Styela clava: one gene and its partners. The protein of the gene in region 4 purifies or fractionates together with the protein of the main gene of each other region. This does not show direct contact. Links are inferred from orthologs where the notes say so. Each region holds a gene or a part of one and is shown on either strand. Other genes may lie near its edges. The genes, in order: vesicle-fusing ATPase-like, vesicle-associated membrane protein 4-like, vesicle transport through interaction with t-SNAREs homolog 1A-like and syntaxin-6-like.

Region 1 (7,277 bases), on a different chromosome or scaffold from region 4:
ACGGTTCAATCATATGGCAAACCACGGCCTCTCGTCCGGTTACCAGTCCAGGTCGGGTGTGGGATAAGTTAGCCAGTTATTTGTTTTTCGGAAGAATGGACTTTATGGTGGAGGAAGCCCTAACCGATGTGAACCACCTACGTTATGTATTAATGGGTCAGAAAGTGCTTTATACTTAATTGCCGACACTAAAAATCATCACCGGTCCGTCGTTTTAATAATAACCATTTTTTGTGGGCTTATGAACCAGATACCCTTTAAAAAACTTTTCGTCTTGTAGCCCAGTGTGTAGACAAAACTTCAACCTAAAATTGTTTTGCAAATGTGCCTTCTGGTCTGTTGAATACTGACAGGTTGATTGTTTTGTCAACCAAAATCAAATAAATGAAAGCATACATACATTGAAGAGAGTAAGAGGCACTGCTTTTTTGTAAGGACTGGAGTTTATGTCGATGATTTATGTGATGCATGATTGATAGAATCATGATTATGGAAGTCAGAAAAGCAAACAAAACAAGGCAGTGGTTTCAAACGTTTTTTTTTTGTAAATTTCTCCCGGTACTGATTTCAAAAATCTCTATTCCCCCCTCAATACACACAATATTCATGTTTCCGTTAGCTGTCATTATCTGTCGATTAGGGCCGGGCGTTTTCGAATACTTGATGATTTCAGAATTGAGGCTTGAAAGATATGTAGTTGCACATGACTTTTTCACTGTGATGTCTATGGGTCCTCCAGTCACATAAATTACTGAAAACGTAGAATCCATCACTCAGACAGTTTGCTGAGTTCACATAAAATAAGAAACACTTTTTGGAGAGAGAGAGAGAGTCATATGTCAGAATTCCATTTTGAAAATATGGGTTCAATAAAAAAATTTAGGGGTGAATAAAAAGAACAAGATGGGAGACGGGTTAAAATATTCTTTAAATCGAATAATTTGCTATTGAATTCGAAAGGCCCAGCCCGACTGGTGATATGCATAACCTGCACTCATAGACATGTTGTACATTTCTAATAATTATCTGTTGGGTGACGCCGCTCGTTAACCATCACTGGTTTATCGCGTCTCCTTTCACACTGAAATGTATTTTTTTTATTTTTCTCAATTAGGTTTGCTCAATGTGTACGTTTGTGATAAAATAAACTACTGACTAGTCAATATTAACGAAACTACAAAATAGCCTATAAGTTTTCCTCTCCAAAGGGGAATATATTTTAACTATGGAGGAATTCCTTCGGAAAATATTAAAAATTATGAAATAGACAGGCTTGCATCGTTCCTTCAGATATTATAAATGGTGGTTTAGAATAGGATTTTCATATGGTCGATCCTGATAGCCTCTCGTTTCAGATACATGTATGAACTTGATTGTCCTGAAGGCTTCCACATGAAGCTACGACGCCCGAAGGATACACTGCTTTTATCATTCGTCTTTTGTATATGTTTGTGTTGTGTGTGTATGATAGGGGTAAACTGGCACGTGTGTTTCTACACGTATTATTCTCAAGCTTTCGTGTCATTGTATTTTGTACGTTTTTGCGATGAAATCAAAATAAACTTACAATTATGAGCTTTGGAAAGAATTTCAAGGGTCGATTGAATTATTGTTACTAACCCACCAGTGAGGACTAGGGATGAGCCGGGATTCGGATTTGAGTCAAATCCAGGTATTTTTTGGACTCTGATTCGATTTCGAGTAGACGTCATTTTTACCGAGTCTATAATCAATTGTTTTTACTAATTTACTATATTTGTACTTTTGCCTCTATAAATCTCACTACATACCTTAACTAGTTAAAATTCAAGGTTAGATCTGTAACAATATCCCTCATGTGTATTATAAACACTCCTAATAAAGACGATGACAGATATCCAGATAATATAACGCAAGTTAAAAAATATTGATAGCTTATAACAATGATGCGCGAGTCGTCTTCAAACTATCTATCCTTTTTGGCATACACGTGGTACACAAAAAAATATGTGTTAGTTAGCGCAATATTTTTGAGTTTTCGATTCGCGTAAGAATGAAACATGCTTTGGATGAACCCAATGGGGAATCTCATCATTACCTCTTTTAAATCGAGTTCATTACGTACAATCCTTTCTCTAAAAAGGGAGCAATGGAAAGCATGGAGAGTTTTAGAACGTTTACATGAACTACTAAATTACAAGCAGATGTACAACATTGCATTGACGTTGAGTGGCATTTCTCTACCATTTGCGCACGTGGCATAGTAAATTTACAGCTAGAAATATCCGGAACTATGGGAAAGCATTGTTATCAAAAGCTTATTATTTTTTCATATCGACATGTAAGAATTTCTGAATAGCCACCCAGAATTGACGCAAGGTGGTGGGCTGGAAATCCAGTTCACAGCTAAGGCGCACATTGACCCATGTTTACGCTTGTAATATGGCAGCAAAAAAAAAAAACGAAAAATATATTTTTAAATTGATTCAACAGCTACCTGAGGAACCATTAGACAAAAAATATGAGCCACGTCGTATGTTTGTGAGCGCGCGATGCTGTAGTATTGTCAAAATAGTGTTTTTCTACTTTTACATTGTGACGTCACGGACTCGGAGGATTCGATTCGAGTCCTTGACCTATTACTGAATTGATTGATTGATTGATTACTCGGATTCGTCGAATCTCTCTAATGCCGGACTCGCCCATCCCTAGTAAGGACGGACAGTTATATGAATTCAAGTTACGCTCCCGTGACCCGTGGTCACGCCTGAGCAAAAACGTCATTTTCGTCGCTGTGTTTTTGATGTGCTGGCTCGATAAATATGTTGCCAGTTTTCCGGCATTGTGCGTGCGTTTACCGGTACATTCGGGAACATATTTCACTGTACCTCGCAGCGGGTACATTATCTACATTCGAAACGTATGAGGTAAAATAAATAATCGTGGGAATGGCATTTAAATTTAAACAACAAAACGTGGAATCAAAAAACTACCGTACTGTATGTATTGCGACAATTAGATTTTAAAATCTCAATACGAAAGTTCCGTTTGGCGTTAGAATAATTCGCCGCAAAAAAGTGAATGATAAAACCGAAGATAAAAACAGGATTCAAATGACAGAAAGATAACAAAACGCATAATCAAGTTGTAGTGAAAGGACAACTCAATAAAACTCGCTTTGCGTGATATTGATCGTAAGACAGTAACAGCATATGGCGTTGTAGTTTTTATTATTGATGAATGGGAATCTCATATTTTATCCCGAGAATTATTGACGTGGTTGTTAGTTTTTATTAGTTAAGATTGCAAAGAATACCTAGAACTGTACCGGTATTTTATGAGTGGGCTTTTGAGATTTAAATTGTAGGCTGTTAGTAGTTTTTCTTCTTTTTAGAATTCTCTCTTTTTTATACCTGTGTTAGTAGATAGTCAGAACAGATTCCAAACATAGCCAGTAGATTCCAAACATAGGCTCCACATTGAAAGACATCAATTATAACAGTGAGTACGGTACAGTACGGCACACTATACAGATCGAGAGGCATTGTCTCATTTTAGAGAATTCCATTTTGCCAATGAACAAACACCCCTCCTTTCGGGGACGTCTGGCCATTGTTGTTCCTCAATATCGGTAAAAATACAGTAAAATGAAGTTGTATAAAAAACTACAAAGAAGCGCTATCTAAAAACGTCATCATTGAATTCCTCTGGAAAAAATAATCTAATTTATTGGAGGAAAAAAATTTCTACCATGGCATTTGAGAGATTTTAGCTAAAAACGACAATTTTGGTCATGTGACAGCCACGATTTAGATTATTATTGAGACAAGCATCGCGCAATATGATGCATCTGATGTCGTGCCAGACACCCCTTGTTTGGGAGAGACATGGGAGTGTTTGTTTTATTAGACCAAATGATGGGACATTCTTGGAATTTGGAAATTTTGGTAGACACTACCTGCTACAGTTTATTTATTTGCGTTACCAAGTTTAACGAACATGCATGTTATTTTCAGTATTTCAAAGGAAAATCAGGCAGAAATGCAGAATTGCCTTTACTCTTTAGGCCTACATGTTTACAAACTTGAAAAAGCATAAATAAAGTACACATCAATGATCACAAAATTGAGTTCTATTTTGAGGCAGCAATTTTTTTTGGTGTAAGTACATCGTGATTTTTTTTCCCCGAATAGTTCCGCGCACACAAACTAACAGTTTACGAAGTGCTGATGTCTGGTATGAACAGACTTTGTTCTTATTAAGTATTGAATTATTATTTTCTTTCATTCAAGGCTCATCAAAAAAATATTACATAATAAATTATAGTAAAAATGTCCACAGAAGCTTTCAGAGTCACAAAATGTCCTAGTAATGATCTTTCGTTAAAAAACAAAGTCATCGTGAGTCCGCAGGATTTTCAAAATGGATATAAATACATCAGGTTTTGTAATCGAGGTCAGGTGTACGATTTCACTTGCCTCCCTGATCGTCAAGTACAGGATAAATATATTGGATTTTCAATGATTCAAAGAAAATGGGCCTACGTTGGGATTAACCAAGAAGTTCAGGTATTTATGATTATATTTTTCGTGATGGTTAAATTTCGTCTACGTCATCCAAAAATCATGTCACTATGATGTAACAGTGACATAATAAGGCCCGCAAAAATACATGCATAGTCGTCCCAAACGCACAGACCATTACCCTAAGTCAGCAAGCTATTTTTCTCGTCTTAGCGATCCCAATATGAGAGAGATCACTGGCGTTGTGAATTTCTTATCGGCGGCTCATATTGGCAAGCTATGTTACATGATTGTGAGGCCGTAGTCGCGCAATTCATAGATGGCGTAGTCAGGTGGGAGTAAGGAATAACCCCAAATAGGAATAACAAATATTGACAAGCGCACTGGAAGTACTACACTAGACCCAATATTAATAACCAATTTGATTTATTGTAAAATTTGTTCATGCCTTTATTATAAACAAGTGGGAGGTGCTACTTGCTATCAAACTTTCATGATCATGGCCTCTTCCAAACAACATTTAGGTTCTTATGATCTTTAAAAAAAGATAGTAGTTTTCACTCGAATGAAGCACAAGGTGTCACTATGGAATAAGAGCGCTGTTTTGAGGATCCCCTAACTTTCGATCGATAAGTCTTCGGTCTCTGACCGATATTCTCGTTTTTTACTTGAGGGGCTTCCCCACGACCTCGCCACCCTAGATGTAATGAATTGGGCAGCCAATGACGAACCAGAGTGGTGTCCATCTCTCTGAGAATAGTATCCAAATTTGATGTATCAGTAGATGCTATTACATAGCCTTGTTCAGTGTAAAAAACACCACCTAAGAAATGCTAAATTTCATTTCTTATGACAGGTTGAAAAATTCTTCCCCACAAAGCAGGATGAAATAGTTGAAACCATCCTTGAAGTGGATTTTTATAAATCAAGAGAAGTCACAAGTAAGTTTAACAGTCTGGAGAATCTATTTGAGTACTGCATGGTTTTGGATTGTGTTGCTCTTCAGTTTGGGTGCACAGCGAAAGTCAGCAATCGCCTCTCATTGGTCGATGATAATTTTATGGTGTATTCTGCGTTACCCAGCGCTTCACAACTTATTTGATATCCGAAATTGGGGTTTTGCCCGTCAAATATTCACCGTATATAATCCAATTTCAAAACTAAGCTGTCAAACTCTGATCGCACTCAAACAAAATGACATCATGCTAACTTAATTTCAACAACTCGAACTATGAAAGTCCTCACAATAAAAGCGTACGATTTGTAGGATCCGCTTATATGCAAATTTTTATAAATTCACCGTTTTGGGGTCATTTTTAGGAGGTCTGCTTATATACGGTATGTTGGGAAGACATTAGTTTTGTGAAAATTATAGCCTAGCCTACTCTGTCAGTGGACAGGCAGTCTTATTCCAACATCAATTTCTTTCAGATGATCCAGTCAACACAGATCACATGGTAGAACAACTCAAGCATGACTTCGCGCTTCGGTGGTTTGTTCTTGGTGAAACGTTGCTGTTCAGTTTTGCCGGCATACATTACGCAATTTCGGTTAAAGATATTAAAACTGCTGCCAATGATCACCATGGTGGAATTTTTCAGGTGAGTCGAACTGACATGATTTTTTTTTTAATTATAGTGTTACCCCTGAAAAATTTTATAAAATTTATTTGCAGATACCTAGTGATATCACACATTCGAAAAAAATTTGAATACTCTAGGGGTCCGAAAGGAATCGAATATACTAAATGTACATGATTTTTTTTACAAATATAGTGTTACATCTTTTCTACCCCCTAAAATTTTTTAAAAAATATTCCTTTATATCCAGGTATATCATGCATGCTAAATAAATTTGAATACTTTGGGGGTCCGAAAAGAATCAAATATACTAAACGTACATGATTTTTTTCAAATATAATGTTACTCCATCTCTGCCCCTCTGAAATTTTATAAAATATATTTGCTGATACATAATTATATCACGCATGCAGAAAATTTGAATACTTTGGTTATCCAGAATGAATCGAATATACGAATATTTTTTCAATTATAGTGTTACATCTTTTTTACCAACTAAAATATTTTCAAAATTATTTACTAATAATCAGGTATATCACATTTGAAAAATTGTTCGAATACAATACGATTATTTGAAATTTATAACAGATATATTTAGTTCCTAATTTTTAGAATAAGTTTGAAAACTTTATTTGGAAATATTTCATTTTGAGCAATAAAAGTATCTTGGTAAAACCAAAAGACCTGTAATTAATTTCTGACAACAGTAGAAAATGGAGAGCCTAAATAATATTGCATATGATCTTTATCTCTATGATAACTGAAACCTACAAATCTATAGAGCAGTGGTTCTCAACCTTTTATGATTCGTGGCCCCCTTTCGGAGGCTTTTAGCACTCATGGCCCCCACTTTAATATTCCAGAGGTATTAATAGGGTTATTTTCATTGATAGATTCCAAATCCCATTATGTTAAAACAATTTGCACAAAAGAGAACGAAAACACCCTGCGAAATAACCTTGTTGAGCAGCAAACTAGGAAAAACTAAGAGATTTCTTTTAAAGTGAAAAGTAAATTCAGATTTCAGCCCATCCTTGTGGCCCCCCTCCAACTCCTCCGTGGCCCCATAGGGGGCCGAGGGCCCCCGGTTGCGAACCGCTGCTATAGAGGGTTAAAAGTGAACGAGACTTATCTCTAAGCAAAGTTATGTTCACTCACTCAGAATCAAAGGTGACTCATCTCCAAGCAAAGTTGC
Region 2 (7,466 bases), on a different chromosome or scaffold from region 4:
ATATGAAAATATTATCATGAATTGCCAATGAAATGTGATGCAAAGTGAAGTTTTTTTTATTTTGTGAGTATTATTGAAATATTTATTGGTTATCTTGGTTAGCTCGAAGAAAAAAGGTGCCAGACGACATACTCTTATGACAAGTTATCAGTTTTTCTAGTTACAAGACTAGGTGGAAGTAGCTAATTGTTGTGGATGCATTGACCGAATGGTGGAAGAAAAAATTATGCGAACCATGGTCATTTTATGAGGTGTTTTCATACCTTCTCTTCGAAGGCCAGTGACTACGTAATTAGATACTGATTTTGATGGATTGGAGCCTTTCAGTCCATTGCTAACCTGCAACATAGGCATCGTACAACATAATTATCTACCATTTTTGATGAATTGAAATCTTTCCAGTCGATTCCATTGCTAATCCAATTACAACACGGGTAGCGAAGTCAGCTTCTGAGATTGAACCAGAAATTTTTGACCTGTGACACCAACATAGCTTAGGCCGACCACTCTCACTACTCAGAAATGCGATACATAAGAAAAATAATATGTCACTTTCAGCTATTTAATTTCACATTATAATTTTCTCTCCATTTCAGGGTTCCTAATTTTGTCAAAGAAAAACGTTTTGCAAACTGGCTTCGGGATGCTCATGACTGGGCCGTTTCTCGTAATAGATATTGGGGTACTCCAATACCATTGTGGGTCAGCGAGGATTTCGAAGAAATCGTTTGCATCGGGTCCATAGAGGAATTGGAACAATTATCTGGGGTCAAAGTCACTGATCTTCATAGAGAAAGGTATTTTAGAGTAATGATGTTTTTATTTTGTCGTATGTCAACGAGTCGTGAGTTGAACATAATTAATTAATATGGCAAGGCATTCTTAATGCTTCTATTGGACAGGGATTGCATATTTTATGCAACAGAAAAATCAGTATTCTCAGAAGAATCACCTCTTTTAATAGGTGGTTTCAGAAGCCATTGCAGGCGAATCTCCGATTTTGAATTTGAAACTTCGGTTCTGAAATGGCTATGCCCCCTGCATTTAGCATATTAACATTTATCTGTGTCATAATTTACTTATAATTTAGTTCAAGCTTTTGAAATCTTGCTTCTTTTGTTAATCATTATCTGATCTTCATCATTCGTTTATAATTATTTGACAAGTTCAACATTATGTATATACATGAAAATTCACAAATTTTTTGCTTTTTAGAGAGCCTTTATTTTTTTTAGCGGATAATCCTTTTGTTTCTGTTTTTAACTACTGTCAATCTTCTGTTTCTTATTGTCTGTCAATTTTCCAACTTCATGCTTTGCTATTTCTCTTTAGTGTTGATGGCATCACTATACCATCACGCCTTGGAAAAGGAGTTTTACGTCGTATATCCGAAGTATTTGATTGCTGGTTTGAAAGTGGATCTATGCCTTATGCTCAAATGCATTATCCATTTGAGGTATGCTATTATTTTTCCTCAATGCCTTAAAGTTCTGTTTCCTCAATGCCTTAAGATTCTGTCCTGGAACTTGATTCACTGGACTGGGCAAGGAAAAGCTTAATAATATATGCATGCATTTAATAAATACAACATATGAGGTGGGTATTTTCGAATACCTGATGATTTCTGAATTGAATCAAAAAATTTTACTCAATCTAATCGAATCTCGAATACTTGGAAAAGGGTAACTGTATGTATTAACTTTTTTATCGCCATATGTCCTTCATACACATAAATTACTGAAAACATAGAATCTATTACTTAGACAAATTGCTGAGTTGTCACCCACAATAAGAAACAGATTTTATCAATATCTCACTAGTAGAAAAAATGTCATACGACAAGATTGCATTTTAAGAATATGGTTGCAATAAAAAAATGGAAAGATTCTTGACCTTGAACGGAAGACTAGAAAAAAGATGGCGATCATTCGAAAGTTTGATCTGAACCATTTAAAAAAAATTATTGTTCAAATATTTGATTCAAAATGCTCAGTCATATTCACAAGTCAAGCAATTGCGTAAATTTCATTTCAATTGTTTCAAGTTTTTGGTTTCTTATGTCTCAATCTATGATGCATTCCAACTGCCAAGACTTTCTTGATTTGGAATTTAGCATGGATTATACCTTAATTTTTGTTTCCTTTTAGGCCTATTATTATTGCTTCACTATTAACCTGCATTGGAATCATTGTTAGTGGTCTGGTCACACAGCAATGAGAGTTATCCAAATTTCCCAAGCATAAAAAATATTCTATGGCAAACCAGTTGTGGTAATTATTCATAATTTTTATGTCTTTAGAACAAGAAAGAATTTGAAGACAGTTTTCCAGCTCATTTCATTGCTGAAGGAATTGATCAAACAAGAGGATGGTTTTATACCTTGCTGGTATTATCCACTGCTTTGTTTGGGAAACCTCCATTTCAAAATCTAATTGTCAATGGACTCGTTCTTGCCAGGTATGGCATCGATATTGTTAATACCATTTTTGATTTATTCATGTTGTTCATAATTCAATGTTGTTAATACTTAATCTCAGCGATGGTCAGAAAATGAGCAAAAGGAAGAAAAACTATCCTGATCCAATCAAAGTTGTACATGCATATGGTGCAGATGCTCTCCGATTATATTTGATCAATTCACCTGTGGTTCGTGCCGAGAATTTGAGATTTCAGGTACTGTATTGCTTGTTTTTTATTTGTTATAAATAGGGAATATTTTTTGCAATATAAATGTTTCTTTTTATTTTTAGGAAAATGGTGTACGAGATATTTTGAAAGATGTTTTTCTACCTTGGTACAATGCATACAGATTTTTTGTGCAGAACGTAATAAGGTAAGTTTTGGACCAATTCAAATTTCAATTTGTAGAAACAAAAATTTCAGTTTATTAAATTTTAATCACTCTTCTGGTTTAATTGGGAATGTGTTAGCATTTCCATCATGTCTTATATTAATGAGAAGCAGCCGTAGTCATTTTAAAGCGATCCTATTTTTATACCTTAATACAACCAAATACTCCAATGTCATATTCACTCCTATTTGTTCAAAATTATAATGCAAATTTCATCCATTGCTTATTTCAATAAAATGAAGTTGCACTTGTTTTAAGGCTTCAAAAGGAAGAAGGCATTGAATTCAAATACAAAGAAGATGATCTTGGAAGTTCAGACAACATAATGGACAAATGGATTCTGTCATCAATACAATCACTTGTACTGTATGTGAAAAAGGAAATGAAAGGTGTGATATCTCAATCGCAGTTGAAACTTTAGCCTATCATCGTATCCATGTAAATTGTGTGTGCAAGCTAAATCTGAATTGCCAATAGTTTGGCCAAAATTCCAAAATTTTCTTTATCAAAATGTTTCAATTTTTTTTATCGAACATATCTCTTCATGATCAAATAAACATGGACTTCTATTGCATATTTGTCAAAACATTTTGAAGTTGAATCCTTAGAGAAAATCATTTGCATAATATTTTAGGATTTTATCTTGAGCATTGCTACTGTATCAACATAAACGAACGAGATTTTAAAATATATTGCAATTGACAACCATGATGTATGCTGTGCAAATGACATTGCATGATAATGAAGCCATGTGGGTCTCATTGTGCAGTGCTACTTTATTTTCATAACACAGCGACTTGCGCTTCTCAATAATTGATTTTCATTAAGACTATCTTATTTGGTGAATTGGATATTTTACTTTGCAGCATACCACTTGTATACTGTCGTTCCTCGATTGGTCAAATTTGTGGATTTATTGACAAACTGGTACGTCAGATCAAACAGGAAAAGATTGAAGGTTTTTATATTTGCTTGTTTTAGTTAAATTTGTGGATGTCCATGATATTTATTGGGAATATGTGTGTTTAAATTTTAGTTAAACACGTTTATCTCTATTTTATGCACTGTAATTGAATAAGTTTTATAACGTTATTGGAAGATAACATTGTGCCTCAATAAAATAGCATTTTTTGCATTCTAATATTGTAGTTTTACTATTACAGAGAATTATTTTACTTTTAAAATAGGTTGTCGATTTTTAATAAAATCTGAGATTTTGTTGAAGGTTTAATCAACATATATCTATTTTAATACGCCATTACTACTCACACCGCTTATTCTGGTATACTACAGCATGTTTACCCTAATGGGTGCAGTGATAAATCACTATTTGTTTGTCTAGATTTTCAATCTTATATGCTTTTACGTCTGGAATTAAATTTCATTTTGATTTATTCGATTTATCAAAAGAAGGGTGACATTTAATATTAAGAAAATCCAATTTTTTGGATAGCAATGCCAATAAAAATCCTAATATTACTATTTACTCTGTATAAAACACTCCAAATTCTCAAAGTAACCTTTGATAATATTATCAGATAAGTAAACATTGTAGGAAATAACCAGAATGGATTACAAATAGAACCTTGTTTGAGCTCCAGGTGAATTTCATTGCCAAACTTCAAAAACAAGTAGTTTTCTGTGATAGAATATGTTTACCTATGACTAGGTCGCCTTTTATGGAAATTCTTTTATCAGTTTTGGATGATGCAACTTTGAATCAGCGAATGTAACTTATATTATTAACGTATATATTATTATAAATACATATTTTAAAGTGTGTTGACTATAAAATGGCTTTTAAAATGGAAATTTTTCTTGAGTTTATTTCTTAATCAATGTTACATGGGGCTTATGGCTACTTCCACCATCAATTCCATTTTTTCAAAAACAAAATATCTGGCTAACAAATCCCATACCTGACATGGACTGGTAACCGGACGAGAGGTAAACCTTTTTGTCGTTCTTCTCTCCCTGGTATAAATATGAAATCCTATCCTTATTACAATTCTTTTTCTATGCTTTTTTATTCTCTATTTAAATGATAAACAATCCTTTTTATATTGATTTGAAGTTGTCTAATTAACTTTTTATATTATTATAGAGCTTCTTCTAATCTTGTTTATATAATATCAGGTCAAAGAGCAAGTTATAGCTGACAATTCACTTGACTCTTTGAATGTTTCAGGGTGACGGTGGACCTGAAGATTGTCAAAAAGCATTGCAAACACTTTATAGTGTTCTGTACACAATGATTAGAGAAATGGTAAGTTTTTATGATTCCAAAACTCTATCTTTAATCAAAATGCAGATCAGCTGCCATTTTACTATAAATGATTTTTTTTATGTGTTTTATTGCAAGGCACGGCTTCGGGGGGGGGGCTTGGGTGGCCTATTTGGGTGGGTGGCCTTGGATTTTAGCGAGTGAATATGTACTAGTTGTTAATGACTTTACTTCCTTGTTTGGAGCAAAAGGCTTGTAAATAAGCCGCACAAAAAATGTCACATGATAACAAAAATACATCTATTATGCAGTCTGTAATCCTTTTTTTTTCAGAGTCCATTTACTCCGTTCCTTACTGAGCATATGTATCAAAATCTCAAGAAAGTTTTGAAATCTAAAGAAAATGCTGAAAGTATCCATTATTTGATGTTCCCAGATGCGAAGTAAGATATTCAAGAACTTAATTTACTCTTTTCATAAACCATTGGAGAAATTGTGATTCATCAATTGTGACCACTGTATATGGTTGCCTTATTTTCACTCTAGGAATTTCCATCATGATCCTTCTTCATACAATCTCATTTTAATACAACCAAATAGACAACAACATAGAAATTACTGATTTGTATTGTTAATTATAGCCAGCGATAACTGAAATTATATTCATTTTGTTTCTGACTATTCATAAATTTCCACGAAACGCAGGCAATCATAGATAATGCAAATACAGTAATCCAAATATTCTTTAGAATTACTGATATGCTTTATCTATGTTATAAGACCAGCGTTTATAGTTTTATATATTCATTGTAAATTATTTATATTTTATTTTCTCAATTTTAGTGAGAAACTGATTAATGTGGAAATTGAGAGAGCAGTTTCAAGGATGCAAACTGTTATTGAATTAGGAAGAATAATCAGAGATAGAAATACAATGCCAATCAAGGTATTAACTGATTTCGACTGCATACGATTCTTCGTTCTTTTGTCATTCTGAAGGAAAAACTATGAAGATTCAGTCCTTTTTCAGACGGCCATTTAAAATAATCATTCTCTGTTAACAAATCAAACTTGGTTTTAAATTTTGTCGTCGTCAACTGCAGGCAAACATTTCATTTCACATGTCACTGCAAGTTTGTGCAAATAGTCTTATTTTGTATTGTTATTTTTCTGTAAGCATGTTACTGATGCCAGCCTCAATGGTATACACAACCTGCAGCCTGCTGGCCGATTGTGGCCCACAAGAAAAAATTGTGTGGCCCGCGGATAAATTTTTGATTTGGTTTAATCTGGTGCATGCGAGGGATTCCAATCCCTTTGTGTTGCAAAGCCTATACTCTAGTCTACTCTAATTTATTATCTATGCATTATTCTCCACTACTATTATCTTACTCATTATTATCTAATTTACTGTCTGCGTCATAATGTCCTAACAGCTAGCTTGTGCGAAGTGAACAACGCATGTCATAGGATCAATAACCAAAATTTTTGTGCAAGCAACTACTAGAAAGCCTATATAAAGGTGCGACCCGTGCTTTCATCCAGTCAAGTCAAGTCAAGCTATGCTAATAGTTTATTGTTTGTTAGGCATGATTTAACTGCAGATCTCTTTCCAGTACAATTATTTTCATGTTAGCTTATATGAAATTTAATTTCTTACAGTACCCTTTGCCTGAGGTTGTCATCATCCACAAAAGCAAAGAATATCTGGATGATGTTGCTAGTTTGGAGCGATATGTTTCCGAGGAATTGAATGTACGCAAGATCACGACTTCTTCCGATAAAGACAAATATGAAGTTAGTCTTCGCGCACAACCTGATCACATGATTCTCGGGAAACGTTTGAAAGGTAATTTCCCATTTTTTTTGTTAATTTTGAAATCAAATTTTCATAAAGCCTGCTACTAAATGTTGCATTTTTACATTAATCCTCTTCTAATCACAAACTGAGAATACCAAACAATCTGGTTTCTAACAAAAATCTTAATCCAGTGGTTCGCAACCTTTTTTAAAACTCCTCCTGGAATTTTGGAACTTATTATTCCTTCTTCGTTATCTATTGCTTCTTTTGTTTAATCTTTAATAGATACTTTACTAAAGTTATTCACAAGTAGCACTCCTGTTTTTGCACAGCTTAAAGAGTTATTGCGTCATTGACAGTTAACAATGTGCATCACTTCAAAGTATTATATAGGCAATATAGCATAACCAAATGAATAATACATCTATTCGTAGCTCTATTCATTAGTTGCTTACCATATTTTTGTCAATGATCATTCTAATTCAGTTTAGGGCTCTCGACGTACTCAACTAGCAAAGTTGTTTAATATACACATTTTACAGGTGAATTCAAACAAGTATCGGCAGAAATAGCTAAATTATCAAGTCAGC
Region 3 (7,438 bases), on a different chromosome or scaffold from region 4:
GAGCTTTTTTAAAAACTTTAGACAATCCAATGCTGAACCTTTAAAATGCTTTATCAATAATGTAAGACTAGCTCTGGGTGAAACATTATAATCCATCAAAGTTAGAGTTACAGAGCATATTTGTAAAGTTGCTTCAAATTCTATGGCTAGACAGTTTGCACCATCTTTATATTTTCTTTGTGCTACCAATTTCTGTGAAAGACATGAATATAGTTGGATACATCTTTGTACAATTTCTTCAACACTTTCAGTTACCAAAGTTAGATTTATTATACTTGGTAAACAACGGAGAAATTCTTGCCGTGCATTTTCAACCCTGATTTTGAGGTCGGCATCTTCTTCATTATCGCAAACACAGAGATTGAGAAATACCTTCACTTTCTTCCCATCCATACCGTACTGTAACCAAGTAAGGTGCGGTATCGTACAGGAGTGTTGAAACAGTGGTACAAAAATAATCAAGTCTATTAAACCAGAGACAATGCATAACAACAAGACGTCAAGCTTCCTTTGTTTATTAATATAATTCCCGACGATTTGTTAATCACTCTCTGCCACCTAGTGGGGGTTTACAACAAGCGGTTGTCTTCAGAGGTTGTTTGCGGTGGAAGTTGTTTCGAAGTTTTGCAGCATCACCATAATAGTTACGAAATTATTCTATCCCTTATTTAATAATGTAACCAAGTGTAATTTTTTGAGGATTTGTTAACCGCTATCTGCCACCTAGTGGAGGCTGGCCGCAAACGGCCATCTTCACAGGTTGTATGCGGTGGAAGTTGTTTCCAGTTTATGGGAAACAAGTATTGTTGTCCGGGATGTAATAGATAATCAACGCAAAAAAAGCATTGTCAAAATACCACTATGGAAAAATAAAACAGTACAGCGTAATACCGTCGAAGTTTTTAACTTCGGACAAAAAATTTAAGCTGGCATATATCAACTAAAATGTGACGTATTCATGCTCATGTCAATTTCTATTCTAGCATTGTTTTCAACTTTAATAATGTCGCCAAAAATGTACCGTATCACGATTTTCAACAACTCCTGAACAAAGTAGCAGTAATTCAGAAGACTCGAAAATGGATGTCGTACGCAAAATGACTCCATTGGGTCAATAAATCAACTTCATACTAGATGAAAAATCTTAACCCTAAGAAGATTGGTCATCCGAGGGAATTTACCAAAAAAGAATGGGCCCGATTTGCTTCATGTATTCAAATTATTGCTCGTTGGGTTTTTCCGATCGGTTCTAAAAACACGAGGAATATTGTAAAAAATTATTTGGATAGAAGAGAAATAAGTTCTTCATTTCCGGACAACAAACCTGGTGGATCGATAACTTCTGTAGAACACGCATTTAATATAGTACAAGTTGTACGTTAAGATATTCAATCATATTATTCAGAAATGAAAGACATAGTTAACCGAATACCACCAGCAAATTTTTTAATCGCGATGAAACTAACCTCCAAGACAACAAAGGAGAAAGCGACCAATTGTTTTGGATCGAACTCGAAGTAACAGATTAGAAAGGATTCAAGACTCTTCAAAAACTTCAAATTCCACGATGTTCTGCGAGCCAGCAGCTATCAAATTCGGTTCATACCACACTTGACCAAGTGTGTAGTTAGTCTGATCATTGGTCTGACATTTTATTTACCAGTCTGAGTACCGAGAAGTTTTTGCTATCAATTGACTTATATTTTTTTGTTGTGTATTTGTACTTTGATGAACAAAACAAAATAAACTCCCCCGCTCTCTCTAATGAGAATATTTATACATTTAATATTTAATGCACGACGAAAATAAAATTTATCTGGCCTCCCCGTTAGTCGTTGGGCCTCCCATATAATGATTCGCTTCTGGTTTAATTAATCTCACGTCGTCACATGGTGGTACTATAGAGTAAAGTAATTACGGGTTAACAGTGTTGAGCTCGTATGTCGTATATCTTTTCTTTATCTGATACCATATCTGAACGGGTCTGTGTAATTTGTTTTTATTAATCATTTTTAATCATTTTATTGTTATGCTGATAATGGAGGCGAAATAAACTTGTATTATTGGACACGTAGTGGACATAACGATCGTTTCAATATTATGTTGTTGTTGTTCTTGTTCTTGTTCTTGTTGTTGTTCTTGTTCTTGTTCTTTGACACGTTTTTAAAAAGTCGCTTTTCTCTTCGAATACTGGACCAATTGCTTTGAAATTTTCAGTGGTTGAAGATTAATTTTTTCGCTAGAAGGCTATTACTTTTGTTTATTCTTAAATTTTATATGAATCCTATGAGATATGATATTTCATACAAAATTTCGCGGTATTTATTTTTACTCATGGGAACACTGTTTTACACTTATTTCAAGCGGTTTCGCGATCGATTGTCTTGCTCAGTACTACAGCTACTGTAGGTCGGTACTGGTAAGTTGCCATACCGGTGCCGTAACGCAGTGAAATTGACTTATTCCTTAGGATAGGATAGGATAGGATTTACATATTTATCCCGGGGGAGAGGAAAGCCGATAAGACGGCTTATCCATATGGCGAACCACGGCCTCTCGTCCGGTTACCATTCCAAGCCAGACTGGATTCCATGGCAGGTGCACGCCCGAGGGCGCTAGCGCTCCGCAAAAATGCACGCGAGCGAAATCAATTTTGCACGCCGAAAATTTGCAATTGCTCACCAATGTAAATCGGTTTAAATGGTTTTAAAATCAATAATCCAGTAATATAAAGATGCCAAAATATTATAACTCCACAATTGTCGACAAATACCAGCCTGCAAGATTTGGTCTGATCGAAATATTGCGAAGCAAAAAGACCATGGACCTTTTCCCAACCTTTGACCCGCGAAAAATTCCTCTCATTGTTACGTCCTTTTTTGCATCTTGCTGATTGGCCAATGTCACGAAGTAAACAAGGAAGTCGATGCACGGGGAAAGGTCCATATCGTGTTGAATGATAGGAAATAGGAATCCCGTGCGAATAGTTATGGACGAAAAGATCACTTCCGCACCAATGGCCAAGTACGGCTCTGATTCAGCGTATTTTTCATACAATAATTTTACACGAATGTACTGAACAGTACCGGTATCTAAAGTTGCTCAAACACTCCCAAAATTAGTGACAAAGTATGAAAATAATGTTTGGGGTCAAAGGTCAAACGTCCATTTTGCTCTAATTTGACGTATTTTTTATCCATTAATTCTACGTAAAAACACTACCAAAATTAATGACAAAGTATATCCATTTTGCTCTGGTTCAACGTATTTTTTATCTAATAATTTTACGCGGATGTACTGAACAGTACCGGTATCCAAAGTCGCACAAACACTCTCAAAATTAGCGACAAACTGTAGGAATAATGTTTGGGGTCAAAGGTCAAACGTCCATTTTTTCTCTGATTCAACGTATTTTTTATCCGATACCGGTAGTTTTACGCGGATGTATTGAGAGGTATCTGATGTCAAAGTCAGTTGCACGCGAGTGCAGTTGTTTTGCACGTCGTGAGCTATAATTGCACGCCAGGAATTCTTATTTGCACGCGGGAATTTCTGATTGCACGCCCGATTTCTCGTTCAAAAAGGCCATGAAATCCAGACTGGATTCCAAGTCGGGTATGGGATTAGTTTTTACTGTATTGTTTGTTTTTCGGAAGCATGGACTTGGTGGTGGAGGAAGCCGTAACCGACCAGCGGTTACGTGAACCACCCAACGACGGCGAGGAGTCCAGCAATCCTCTCGCACATAACCATCCCTGCATGGGATTCGAACCTGCGAACCCACGCAGAGTGATTAGAGGTGCGGTGGCGAGCGTATTCCTAACGCTTAGCCCGTTGAGCCACACCGCCGCCTTCCGCGGTATTACTAATGCTGCAATGCAAGTTTTATAGCCTATCGTATGCGGAACGGAATATCAGACCTACAGGTTCGGTACTGGTACTGGTGCCGGTACCGGTGTCTTACCACAATGAAATTACCGTACCGTAACTTATTCTTTCACGGTCCTACCAGTGCAGTGATGCAAGCGTTGTAGCACTTGTAGCCTACTATATTTGTTTATTTTGATGAGAGTCTACTGGAAACAACATAAAATTTGAAAGGGAAGAATTGTTCTGTGATCAATTATCTGTCCTAAAGTGTAAACAACATAAAATTTGCAAGGGAACAACTGTTCTGTGATCAATTACCGTATATGGCCTACAGTGTACAGGTAAGATGCTGCCTGACTGCTAACTCAGTACCGCTTGACACGTTTTTAAAAAGTCGCTTTTCTCTTCGAATACTGGACCAATTGCTTTGAAATTTTTAGTGGTTAAAGATAAAAATTTTCTCCAGAAGTCTATTACTTCTTTTTTCGCTATGACGTCATCGAAATTATGTGACTCTACGTGTCCATATATTTGAGCATAGCTCTCTTGTACTTTTATTATGAATAATGTTACAACATGTTTGGTATTTAGGCGTTTGAAATTAGGCTTATGTTACCATATTCATTTTATTGCAACTTGAAAGTCAAATACCAGAATACTGAAACAAGGTAACAACCGGTACAGATACCGTGATACATTTCTTACATCTGTACATTGCTGTTTCCGTCAGCTGCATTGTGCTGTTGTGAAGCAAGCGGACATCCAACATGGCTGCGATTTTTGAATCGTATGAGCAACAGTTTTCATCATTAACTGCTGAAATAACAAGAAGATTGGGCTCTGTATCTTCATTATATGGGGGTATGTGATATAATATTTACCAGCGCTATCAAATAATGCTGTATTGGGTTTTTAGCTTTGGTAGAAGTCACGATTCTGGTCGAACGAAAACGATGTGTCATTTTTTTGCTAAAATGTGATCTTTTTAGTCAAAAAGTAAATAAGACTGTGCGATTGAATAAGATAACAGATTCAGAGATACCATAGAATCTGCCAGAAGCACAATACGACACAATTTAGCCATGATATAAACGATTGAAAATTTCATTTGTGTTTCAAAGTTGCAAGATATCCGAAGTTAGTCGTTTTTGCGATGCCTATTATTTTCTATGCAACTGTAGTCTAATATCGTTAAAGTTTAGGACTGAATAAAGTAGAATAATTCATTTCCTGAATTATATTTTTGCCCTCATTATTCATTTCAGTTGACAAAAAGACTGTGATAAGCTCAATAGAAAGACAACTTGATGAAGCCCAGGAATTGGTAAGAATATTTGCATTTTCTACGATGCAGACTTAGGCACGTGGAGGCATAGTGTAACAAGTACAGTTTCTCTTCTACAAAAATAATGTTGATATATTTAAGTGAATTTTGATTGCATCTTGATTAGCTTTGGTCTACTGTCAGACTGTAGGAATGAAGTATGACTTATGTAATTGATTTCTTTTAAAAGATTGATATCATATTAATTTTCAACAAATCTATGTGAGAAATAGCAGGAAAGATACAGGGCTTAAAATTAAGTTTCAAATGTGATCTTTAACCCCATTTCGATCAAGGCTCATTCTGCTCGGACAAATTTTATCAATTCTCATTTAAAAGTAATGCTGGATCGTATCAAAATCATCTGTCCCAATTGTCATTTTTGCTTTTGTGGTTTTAATAATCACCATATGAGTTCATTCCCTCGCGGACTGCCAACGTCTATTTGATTTTTTAATTCGATGTAAGAAATATTGAATTCTTCGGAATACTTTTAAGAAAGTGTTTTGTTTTTGTCAATTGTCTCAAAGTCAATATTATTTTTTGCCAGTTGGAACAAATGGATTTAGAAGTTCGAGATATGCCCAGTGCTGAAAGAGGAAAACTAATGAGCCGTGTGAAAAGTTATCAAACAGAATATACAAATTTGGAATCTCAATTGGTGGGTGCTATTGGTTTGCATATTTTAAACCAGTTTTTCTGACCAATGTGTGGGTACTAATCCCTTCCAAGATTCATCACACGCACGCACACACACACGCTGATTCATTTTTTATTTATATTGCAGCTCAATAAAGGCAACCCTAAGTATTTAACAATATTTTTCATAATGCCATCTACTTCCTGACTTGTTAGCTGAAAATAAGCATTTTGAGAAAGTGTGATGCTTTATTTGTCAAAATCCTAAAACTGATTTTCTGAATTATTGATGTTTGTTGGAGCCCAGCATGGCAGTCATGCACTGATATACATATTATTTTCTTTTTTGTCAGTTTCGAAGATAGGTTAGTAATTATAGTGTATGGATAGCATAAGTGGACATAGTCGATAAATATTTTATTCTCTTGTTGTATTTTTGGTTGTACTTTCATTAAATAATTCTCAAATGATACTTTTTTTGATTTTTGATGAAATAACATCACACAACTCAATATATTGAGTAATAAAGTATCAATGACAAATAAAACAATATAAAATAAAATTACCAACGAATCCCCAATTTTTCAAGGTGTTCTTTAGCATGCTGTTTGTATTTTGACGGTTTTGTTTAAAAAGAGCGTACTGTATAGTTTTTCTGTTTCATTCTGATAATTTGTTACAGAATATTTCATCCAATATCGATGGATAAATTATGTACATGAATTCTTCTGAAATAAAGAATCCAAGAAATTAAGTTCAAACAAATATAATAAAGTATATTTGTGTTATTATCTTGAGATTATGTTTGATGCAAAGGTGTGATAATTGATGTTTAGACGGTCTGCTCTATAGAAGCAATCCCAGATTACAGCAGCCAATATATTCCAACCTTTATTTTATCATATACATATTGTTACAGAAAAAGCACAAAACTTCAGCAAAAGATGCCGCAAAAATGAGGGAAGAGTTGTTAGAATATGATGATGGTTCAACGAATGACCAGGTGATTAAATTTATTTGCATTTTCTTTTCAAATATTTGTATGACTCACAAATAATCAGTTTGGATTTGGACATATCTCCTAAATCCCTATTTAGAATTAGAATTAACGTTGTAAAAAAAAATATGAATATTAACGCTATTTACATGATAAATAAGATCAGGGACATTTTTATTTAAATGTTGGGCATCTTAGTTTTAAAATATCTTTATTTTTTACAAATTTCAATGAATATCCTGATAGTAATAAACATGTAATGACTGGAACATTACACTATTTTATCAATGCAATCACCATGGATATAGAATATCCAAATCATTGTGTAATATAGATTGATCGTTAAATCCAATTGGTTGCTATTGGTTTATTTTAAGTGTAGGAAATTAGCACAACATCTGGTATCTAATGGGAACCAAAATTATGAATGGCTGGTGTTTTTAAAAAATATTTATATTGAGTTTTGGTTGGATAATCCTGGGTGAATACTCTGGACAATGTTAAAGGCTTTCAAACTCACAAAAGGGTGACACCTAAAAAAGCTGTTTTGAGAAAGTGAGAAAAACGTATAATTTTTTATTTTTGAACTCTGAAACATCCCTCAAACT
Region 4 (7,967 bases):
GACAAAATTGAGCAAAATAATAAGGATATACATGGAATAATTATAGTTATTCTTTGTAAAAATAAATCTCTGTTTGACGATTTCCTGTTTTTCTAGCGACCACTACCCATAATATCATATTATATAGTACAATCCTAACTATAATACAAATAAACAACAGATACTTTATGCCACGCCCTCAACACGTCCACCAATAAATGAGTTTATAAATAGCAATCCAAAGTACCCTTGAATACGACATACGTGTTTACTTAGACAGGCTAAACTGTAAAGTATATCCGGCTTAAAAAGCCAATGATAACAGTTATTTAAATCTTCAATAAACATTGCAGGAGGTTCACAACACCCAAGGTTTCCATTCAGATCTATTCTATATTATATAATGTCTATGAAGTCTTAAAATCCTGATAAACGAGCAGGGTTTTCCAAAACGAATCGAATATTCGTATGTATTCGAATACCTTGCCGACTGATTTTCGAATAATAGCGACTTTTCACCGTCAGCGAAGTGTTTCGTTTTAAAGAGAAATCTTCAAACGATTTTCGGCGCTTTGTCGCGTAATGCAATGACGGTGAAATAGTATCAGCACTTCGATTGTTTGTTATCTTCTGTGCGAGCGCCGCCTCGTATTGTTACGACACATTTACACGGTCGCGAGATTGGCACTATCGCCATTCTCTTGCAAGGCTTCTAATTTACGCATTCATTTGTATTGAGTCACGGGCCTCGCATGAATACAACGCTTGTTTACAAATTACAAAATCCAATAAATTGTCTAAGTCCGAAAAAAAAAAGTTGATTTAATAGAGAAAAACATTTAAACTTTTTCTCGCTTTTGGCAAATAATTTTGATGATGATAGTCAATATTCGAATATTCAAATTCATGAACAATACCAGCATTTAAAATGCCTTGCCGTATTATTTTAATTTCATATTCGAAAATAATAATTTCGACGTTATTCGAAATAGTGAATAATTCGGTAATGGCCATCCTTGCACACGACCACTACTTCATTAAAATACACAACACGTAACATCTAAAATGTTTTCTACACTGGTCCGACACTGCGATTCGTTAAGCGCTCTCCGAAAATTAATAGAATTGTATTAAAATAACTGAATATGATTGGATATTATACATATTGTATTGCTTTATTGAATAAAAGTTTGAGAATAGCTGGCCTTCAGGCTTCATTAGAGCCTGGATGAAAAGTGTTATTTTCAAAAATACAGTAATTTTTTTTTCAAATTTTCTACCCCCCCTGAAAAAAATCCTAAAATAAATAAACAAATAAAAGGATATCTATTGTTTCGTCCAAGTCTTCCAAGTCCCACTCGATTGATCGAACATTGTTCCGCAGATCGTTCGTCATTCTTTCGTATTGGTCACGCTTGAGTAAACTTCCATCCGTCAATAAAGATCTCCATCTTTCTTGCATTACGCGACAGTTCTCAACGGACTTTTCCACTTCACTGAAAAATGAGTAAAATTAGAATACACTTTACATATTTATCAAGAAAGGAAAGCAGAAAACGACGGCTTAATACTATCAAGAACCACGGCCTCTCACGGTTACCAGTCCATGTCGGGTATGGGATTAGTTAGTCGGTAATTTGTTTTCGGACTTGATGATAGAGGAAGCCGTAACCAACAAGCAGTTCTTTGAACCACCCTGTGGTGTGGCCAGCGATATTTCTAGCAGGCAGTGTAATCAGAAGTGCTATGGCGAGCGTTTCCCTAATGCTTAGCACGATGTACTGCACCATCGAGCCTACGAATATCAGAACACTTCGTATAGCTGCCCAAATGTTAGCCGCAGTAAACCACATAAGATCGTAACAAATTTCAAGGCTTCAAGAAATCAGATCTGCAGACAAAACTAAGACAGATACAGCTTTGAAAGCCAGACCAAAAGGTGGCCCTTGGTTCAGAATGACATAAAGTCAAAAATTTCATTGCTGAAAAATTTTGAATAAGATACTTGGGATTTACCGAGGCGATGTATGGATTGGTTCTTATCCAGAGAGATAATAGCGATAAATATACCAAGATTTTACGAAATCGAAGCACAAGACAGCCTTCACGCTTAGCAAATTAAAAACCGTATTCCCATGAATATAATAATACTACAGCAAGATTTAGGGTGATTTAGATTTAGAAATTTCATAAGATTTATTTATAGAATATATTGAAATAAATAAAAGCAATAGCCTTCTAGCGAAAAATACAATCTCTCGCCACTGAAAATTTGAAGGCAATCAGACCATTAGTTCATAAGGCGTTTCATACCGCAACAGCATGAACAATAATAACAACGAATGGTCCATGGATACATTTCGTAATCAATCAACCAAATGAGAAATTATCAAAACAGGCGTCAAGCTTGAGAGCATTGTGACAAAATACTGTTAGTAAAAATGAAATACTTTTCAACTGGTTTCACCTCACGCTGTTACAATAAGAGATCTACCGCTGCATTATTGCGGCGTATCACGGTTCAGGTCATGGTAGCATCAATCTATCTATTCATTAAAGCAGGGGTTCTCAAACTTTTGGTGTTATGGAACCCGCAAATAGTTTGACTATTATTTATGGAGCCCCATAATGAATTTATAAAAATGAAAAAAACACACCACACCGATTAATGTTCCTGAGTAAATTAAATTTACTTTATTTTCCTGCTTTGTATTAAAAAAATATTCAGTATTTTAATAGGTAAATGAATAGCCCGTGAAATAGGTTTCTCTCGTAGCCCTGTGGCTCTGTATGGGCACTAAATCTAAGCATTAATACACTCACCTTTTAACAACAAAAAATGGGTCCTCCACAGACATTTTGCCTGTTTACTAATGGTTTCTTATGTCTGTATACTTCTCTATTTTCTTTCACCTCTGAGGAAATCTTTTTATTGCCTTTCTTTTATTTCCATTGGCAGTTAGGTGATAAAATCCAGCAATAAAATTATGGTTGTTAAAAATTAGACGTTGCTTTAGTAAGACTTAATTAAAACCTGTGAAGTGTAGTAAAAATTTAAAGAAAGGTTTCTAAATTTCAGGTCAAAAAAGCAAACGAGGGTGTAATAAATTGGATGCCAAATGAGAAAAAGATACCAAGCATAAGATATCATTTTTTCAGTCTTCTATTGCTTACCCATTGGCAAATTAAAAAAGTTAAATTTACCCCTCTTTCACTGTTCAAACTGGGGGCCCCGATGAGTCGCAATAGGACTCAACAGTGCTTTTGTTCTGAGTGACTAAATATATTTTATTACGAAATATATGGTTTTATTTTTTAGGTTTCAGTCATTTCAATTTTTGGCCGGTACATTATTGATAGGTTTTCTGTGAAATATTTTTAGGTGTGCATTTTTTTTTATCTAGAAGCATAGCTCTAGTATTGCATTATATTACGCAATTTATGTTATTATTTTCTGTTCCATTCATATCATTTTTTTGTCGGTCCGCGAGTACAGGGTAGAAAGGTTGAGAACCATCGCCCCAAACGAGGGTTTCCCAAAATTTTTTAATTGGGGCCTCCTGCCCTAAACTACAGAACTAGAAATAACACCGTGTATATTAGTATCCAAGATTGCGAAGTTGAAGGGCCGAAAAAACTTTTGAGGAGGTCTCGCGGGCCGCAGTCGAAGAAAACCCAAAAGTGATCCCAACATCGCGAGTTTACTCACTTCAAATATATATGATAAGAAAGAAAGTTTATTGTTCCACCAAGTTTTTCAATGAAACTATATAAAGCCCTCAGTTATTTTAAAATTGCTTCCCGAATGTTATTTTCTGTATCTTTTCTCATGTTTGGTTCTGTAATGTCGCCCAAAATGATATTCTTTGTGGCGGATATTACTTGAAAACACACCAGACACTGTGGTTTAGCATTGTTGTGGGTAAGAAAATATGTTTCCCATCAGTTTACCTGTGTCACCTTTCTGTTACACATGGTATGATAAATTGTTGGGACTCGGACTCAGATAAAAAAACTGGATCGTGTGGCGCTAAGTCAGCTCTGTGGTTCGTCACTGCTGTCACATGACCAACAATTAGAAACAGAGGCCGAGAAAAGATTTTATATTATCCAAATGAGGAGTTACCGGTACCGTACCGTAAAAGCGCCTAACTTCGGACAAAATTGCTATATTTTCTTCATTAACTCGGCCATTTATTGTCCAAACGGTGCCAAAATTGCTCGGAAAAACATTCGTGCGGTAATTTACATTCCCTGCAAATTTCGGTTCAATTGGACTATTTTTACTATTGAAATAATCGATATTTCTTGCCATCTGACCGTTATCCTTCACTGCCCTAACTTCGGACAGTCATTTTCTTCACTGCGTAACCGCGACGCACAGAGAGAAAGAGGCTTCCGATGCGGATGACGTAATCACGTCGTTGCGTGAAGATAAGACGCTCGATCGTCGTCGTAACGTAATATTGACGTCACGACGAAAATGCATTATTTGAAACTTCCGTCGTCCTATGTTTACATCTTTCGTTCGTTATTTTTGATACTTCAGATGAGTATAATAACACGTTAGTCATTTTAATCAGGAAATGCATGCGTAAATATATCTGATGCAAACCGTTTCAATCCACAATGAAGTATTCTAACGGGCTTCTATCGGAGTCTTTGAAGTATTAATATTCTCGACGGATAGCTTTTTGTTATTCTGCGCGGTTATCTTTATAAATGATAATTTTATATCAAACACACGGTAAATCCGATTGTGAAGTTTAATTTAAAATTCAACTTAATCTTGTAAACATGTAGGTCCCGTTTATTTGTTGGAGATTAAATTTATTTTTAATTTCGAGTGAATAAAATTCACCCAGGCCGTATTCAATGACTGTCATTTCGACTACTCATCATAAAATAATGGTTAAGTCAGTGCACTGTGCCATATGGACGTTGGAATTATCATAGTTTTATATATTCGATTTTTAACGTCATCGATTAAGTGTGACATGTATTTTCATTAATGTAATTTTGGCATATATTCATACATGACCGAACAAAATACAAAAATATTACATTGGAACGCCGTCTTTATCTTAACGGAAATTGTCATATTGGCTCCGTTGTGTCTGGCGTCAAAATTGATTTCCGCGACGCAGTGTGACGTCGTGTCGGAAGTGAGCGAAAAGTAATCTACGTGAGGTTGACGTAATTTTTGACGCTGCGTGAAATCTTAATATTCTTACGGAATTTATAATTCAGAATTTTAGGTTTTATTTAAATCTCGTACGACATCTTGCGATCACTCAAATAAATTATATACATTGTTGTCGCCCTCTACCGAATGATGGTATTTTGACGATGATAGCTTCAGTAGGAGCGACGCTCTGCGCCCTTGAATGCCGGGCAGTCAATTTTCGGCAAAATTTCCGTTTTTTACCAAAAAAATATTTATGCAACATTAAAAAAGTTGAGAATAGATGTAGATATAACAGCGCAACCTATAATAATTAAAATTAGCAATATACGTCGCGTTTTAGCCAAGATATGGCCGTTCAAAATTTTTGTCCGAAGTTAGGCGCTTTTACGGTACTTGACGCGAGCTTAAAGCACGAAGTTTAGACAAAAAGCACGACTCATCTCATCGGCTTGGTCCTGTCTGCACAAGACAATTCATTCTCATATAGGCAACGTCTTGACATTTATAGATACAACATTGAAATTCCGTGATTAAAAATAATCAAAAAATGTTCTGCCAATAAATACAAATATCTGCCAATGCAGCAATGGTTCAGTGCACGATAGAATTGTTCTGCAGGCCGCAGTTTGGGCCAACAGACCACCCTGACATACAAACATAATATGACTGCAAGACTGTATGACATAAGAACACATACCGGTAAGTTAGATGCTGGAGTAAGAATGACAAATAGATCTTAAGACACCTCGGCAGATATTAAGTATTTGGTTATAAACTATCTCTCCCTTTAAAACGTAGCTCGGCGGTGTGGCACATCGCTGCATCGTGCGATGCATTAGGAATACGCTCGCTACCGCATCTCTGATCCCCCTTCGTGGGATGGCAGGTTCGAATAGGATAGGATAGGATTTACATATTTATCCCGGGGGAGAGGAAAGCCGATAAGACGGCTTATCCATATGGCGAACCACGGCCTCTCGTCCGGTTACCATTCCAAGTCGGGTATGGGATTAGTTTTACTGTATTGTTTGTTTTCGGAAGCATGGACTTGGTGGTGGAGGAAGCCGTATCCGACCAGCGGTTACCGGTACGTGAACCACCCAACGACGGCGAGGAGTCCAGCAATCCTCTCGCACATAACCATCCCTGCATGGGATTCGAACCTGCGAACCCACGCAGAGTAATTAGAGGTGCGGTGGCGAGCGTATTCCTAACGCTTAGCCCGTTGAGCCACACCGCCGCGCCATCCCATGCGGAAATGATCATGTGCGATAGGATTGGACTCCTCGCTGCCGTAGGGTGGTTCACATAACCGCTGGTCGGTTACGGTACCGGTACCATACCGTACGGCTTCCTCCACCATCAAGTCCATGCTGACTACTCCCATACCGGTACACGACCTAGACTGGTAAACAGACGAGAGGCCGTGGTCCGCCATATGATTAAGCCGCCTCATCTTAGACTTTCCTCTCCCCCGGAATAAATATGTAAATTCTATCCTAAACCATAAGTCAGTACCGGTACCGGTGCAAGTGTTTCTACTGATTACCGTTACGGCGGTACCTAGAACTCTTATACCGGTACCGATACGGTAATACTGTTCCGTACCGGTACGGTTTACGTTGCATTTTTATTCGCCTAAAAGAAAACAGAACACACTGACTCAATATGATAGTAAACTACGGTACCGGTAGTCCTGGCCACAATCATTTATTTTTATTTTTGCCAATTAAATTCCAATGCCAAACGAAATTTTCGTATTATTATTTTGGAATCGAATCATTTTAGTCTATTTTAATTTAAATCCATAATTTTTTGTTTCCATGTTTTTTGTTTTTGTTTTCTCAATTTAAATCCCATTCCCCCAATATATATCAAGAGTAGCGTACAAATCCAAATAAATACAAAATTCATACCAGTACCATGATTTCATTAATTTACGGTAATATAATCACAAACCAAACCTGACCACAAACATGAAATAAATATGTTTCGGGAAACAACTACAGGATAACCAAGAAAAAAACCCGAACATATGATTATAATAAAACAAACAAGAAATTGTTCGCCGTAGAAGAAGTCTTGAGTAGCTTTCTTCGCTCTGCCGTGATCACTCAAGTGTGACCATTCTATAATGAATATAAATAGATAGTGAGAGAGAAAATTCATTATTTCGTCAACCAGAAAACACATAATTTAAAATATAATAATAACGAAATAAGTGGAACAAAAGTTTTCGGCAAGACTGGGAGGTAACGATACGACCATTTACGGTCATCTGAGTCAGTAACCACCCAATACAACACATGAATAAATACATAAATTGACACAGGTTCTTGGATTAAAGAAAAAGATACTTAATTCTGATCGAGCCTTCGAATAAGAATCATTTTAACACTATAAAAAAATAATATACAATAGTACAAGAATATACATATGCGGATTAAAGCAAATATGATTTAATAAAGAACTTTTGACAAAGATGAGACAATTACAATACTGTAATCCAGAATAAATATTTATCACACTAACAGTTAATTAAATGATACATAACAACCGCTTACCGGTAATTGAGAATGTAATCATATTATATTATGGAGCATCATATAAGTTTATTTCGACTCCACAATTAGCATAACAGACAACAAAATGATTGATAAAAGCAAATAAATTAAAAATTCCAAGTGATTCAAGAGTCTTGCTGCAGACTAACACAAATATATTTCTGGAACGTTTCGTCAGACCCTAATCAGCATAACATAGAGATATATTCATTACTTTGTCAACCAAAAAAACAAAC

The links.
Region 1: the proteins of syntaxin-6-like (region 4) and vesicle-fusing ATPase-like purify together in Homo sapiens (affinity purification with mass spectrometry; 3 studies listed by BioGRID and IntAct, with this or other methods). This does not show direct contact. The link is inferred for Styela clava from reciprocal best matches to the Homo sapiens genes STX6 and NSF.
Region 2: the proteins of syntaxin-6-like (region 4) and vesicle-associated membrane protein 4-like purify together in Homo sapiens (co-immunoprecipitation; 5 studies listed by BioGRID and IntAct, counting the BioPlex papers as one, with this or other methods). This does not show direct contact. The link is inferred for Styela clava from reciprocal best matches to the Homo sapiens genes STX6 and VAMP4.
Region 3: the proteins of syntaxin-6-like (region 4) and vesicle transport through interaction with t-SNAREs homolog 1A-like purify together in Homo sapiens (affinity purification with mass spectrometry; 3 studies listed by BioGRID and IntAct, counting the BioPlex papers as one, with this or other methods). This does not show direct contact. The link is inferred for Styela clava from reciprocal best matches to the Homo sapiens genes STX6 and VTI1A.

The regions. Positions count from the first base shown.
Region 1 is NC_135262.1:1,425,565-1,432,841, reverse strand, and holds the start of vesicle-fusing ATPase-like, read left to right. Parts: upstream 1-4,274; 5' UTR 4,275-4,310; coding exon 4,311-4,547; intron 4,548-5,358; coding exon 5,359-5,443; intron 5,444-5,933; coding exon 5,934-6,103; intron 6,104-7,277.
Region 2 is NC_135258.1:11,720,329-11,727,794, reverse strand, and holds the start of vesicle-associated membrane protein 4-like, read right to left. Parts: upstream 3,011-7,466; 5' UTR 2,999-3,010; intron 2,834-2,998; coding exon of another isoform or gene 2,751-2,833; intron 2,674-2,750; coding exon of another isoform or gene 2,538-2,673; intron 2,458-2,537; coding exon of another isoform or gene 2,300-2,457; intron 1,457-2,299; coding exon of another isoform or gene 1,333-1,456; intron 798-1,332; coding exon of another isoform or gene 597-797; intron 1-596. Other genes in the region: isoleucine--tRNA ligase, cytoplasmic-like, read left to right, coding at 597-797, 1,333-1,456, 2,300-2,457, 2,538-2,673, 2,751-2,833, 3,110-3,240, 3,718-3,809, 5,040-5,117 and 4 more. UniProt on the Homo sapiens protein: Involved in the pathway that functions to remove an inhibitor (probably synaptotagmin-4) of calcium-triggered exocytosis during the maturation of secretory granules.
Region 3 is NC_135260.1:9,561,216-9,568,653, reverse strand, and holds the start of vesicle transport through interaction with t-SNAREs homolog 1A-like, read left to right. Parts: upstream 1-4,432; 5' UTR 4,433-4,637; coding exon 4,638-4,731; intron 4,732-5,135; coding exon 5,136-5,194; intron 5,195-5,744; coding exon 5,745-5,855; intron 5,856-6,752; coding exon 6,753-6,836; intron 6,837-7,438. UniProt on the Homo sapiens protein: V-SNARE that mediates vesicle transport pathways through interactions with t-SNAREs on the target membrane. These interactions are proposed to mediate aspects of the specificity of vesicle trafficking and to promote fusion of the lipid bilayers.
Region 4 is NC_135254.1:1,680,382-1,688,348, forward strand, and holds the start of syntaxin-6-like, read right to left. Parts: upstream 3,010-7,967; 5' UTR 2,838-3,009; coding exon 2,803-2,837; intron 1,476-2,802; coding exon 1,306-1,475; intron 1-1,305. UniProt on the Homo sapiens protein: SNARE promoting movement of transport vesicles to target membranes. Targets endosomes to the trans-Golgi network, and may therefore function in retrograde trafficking.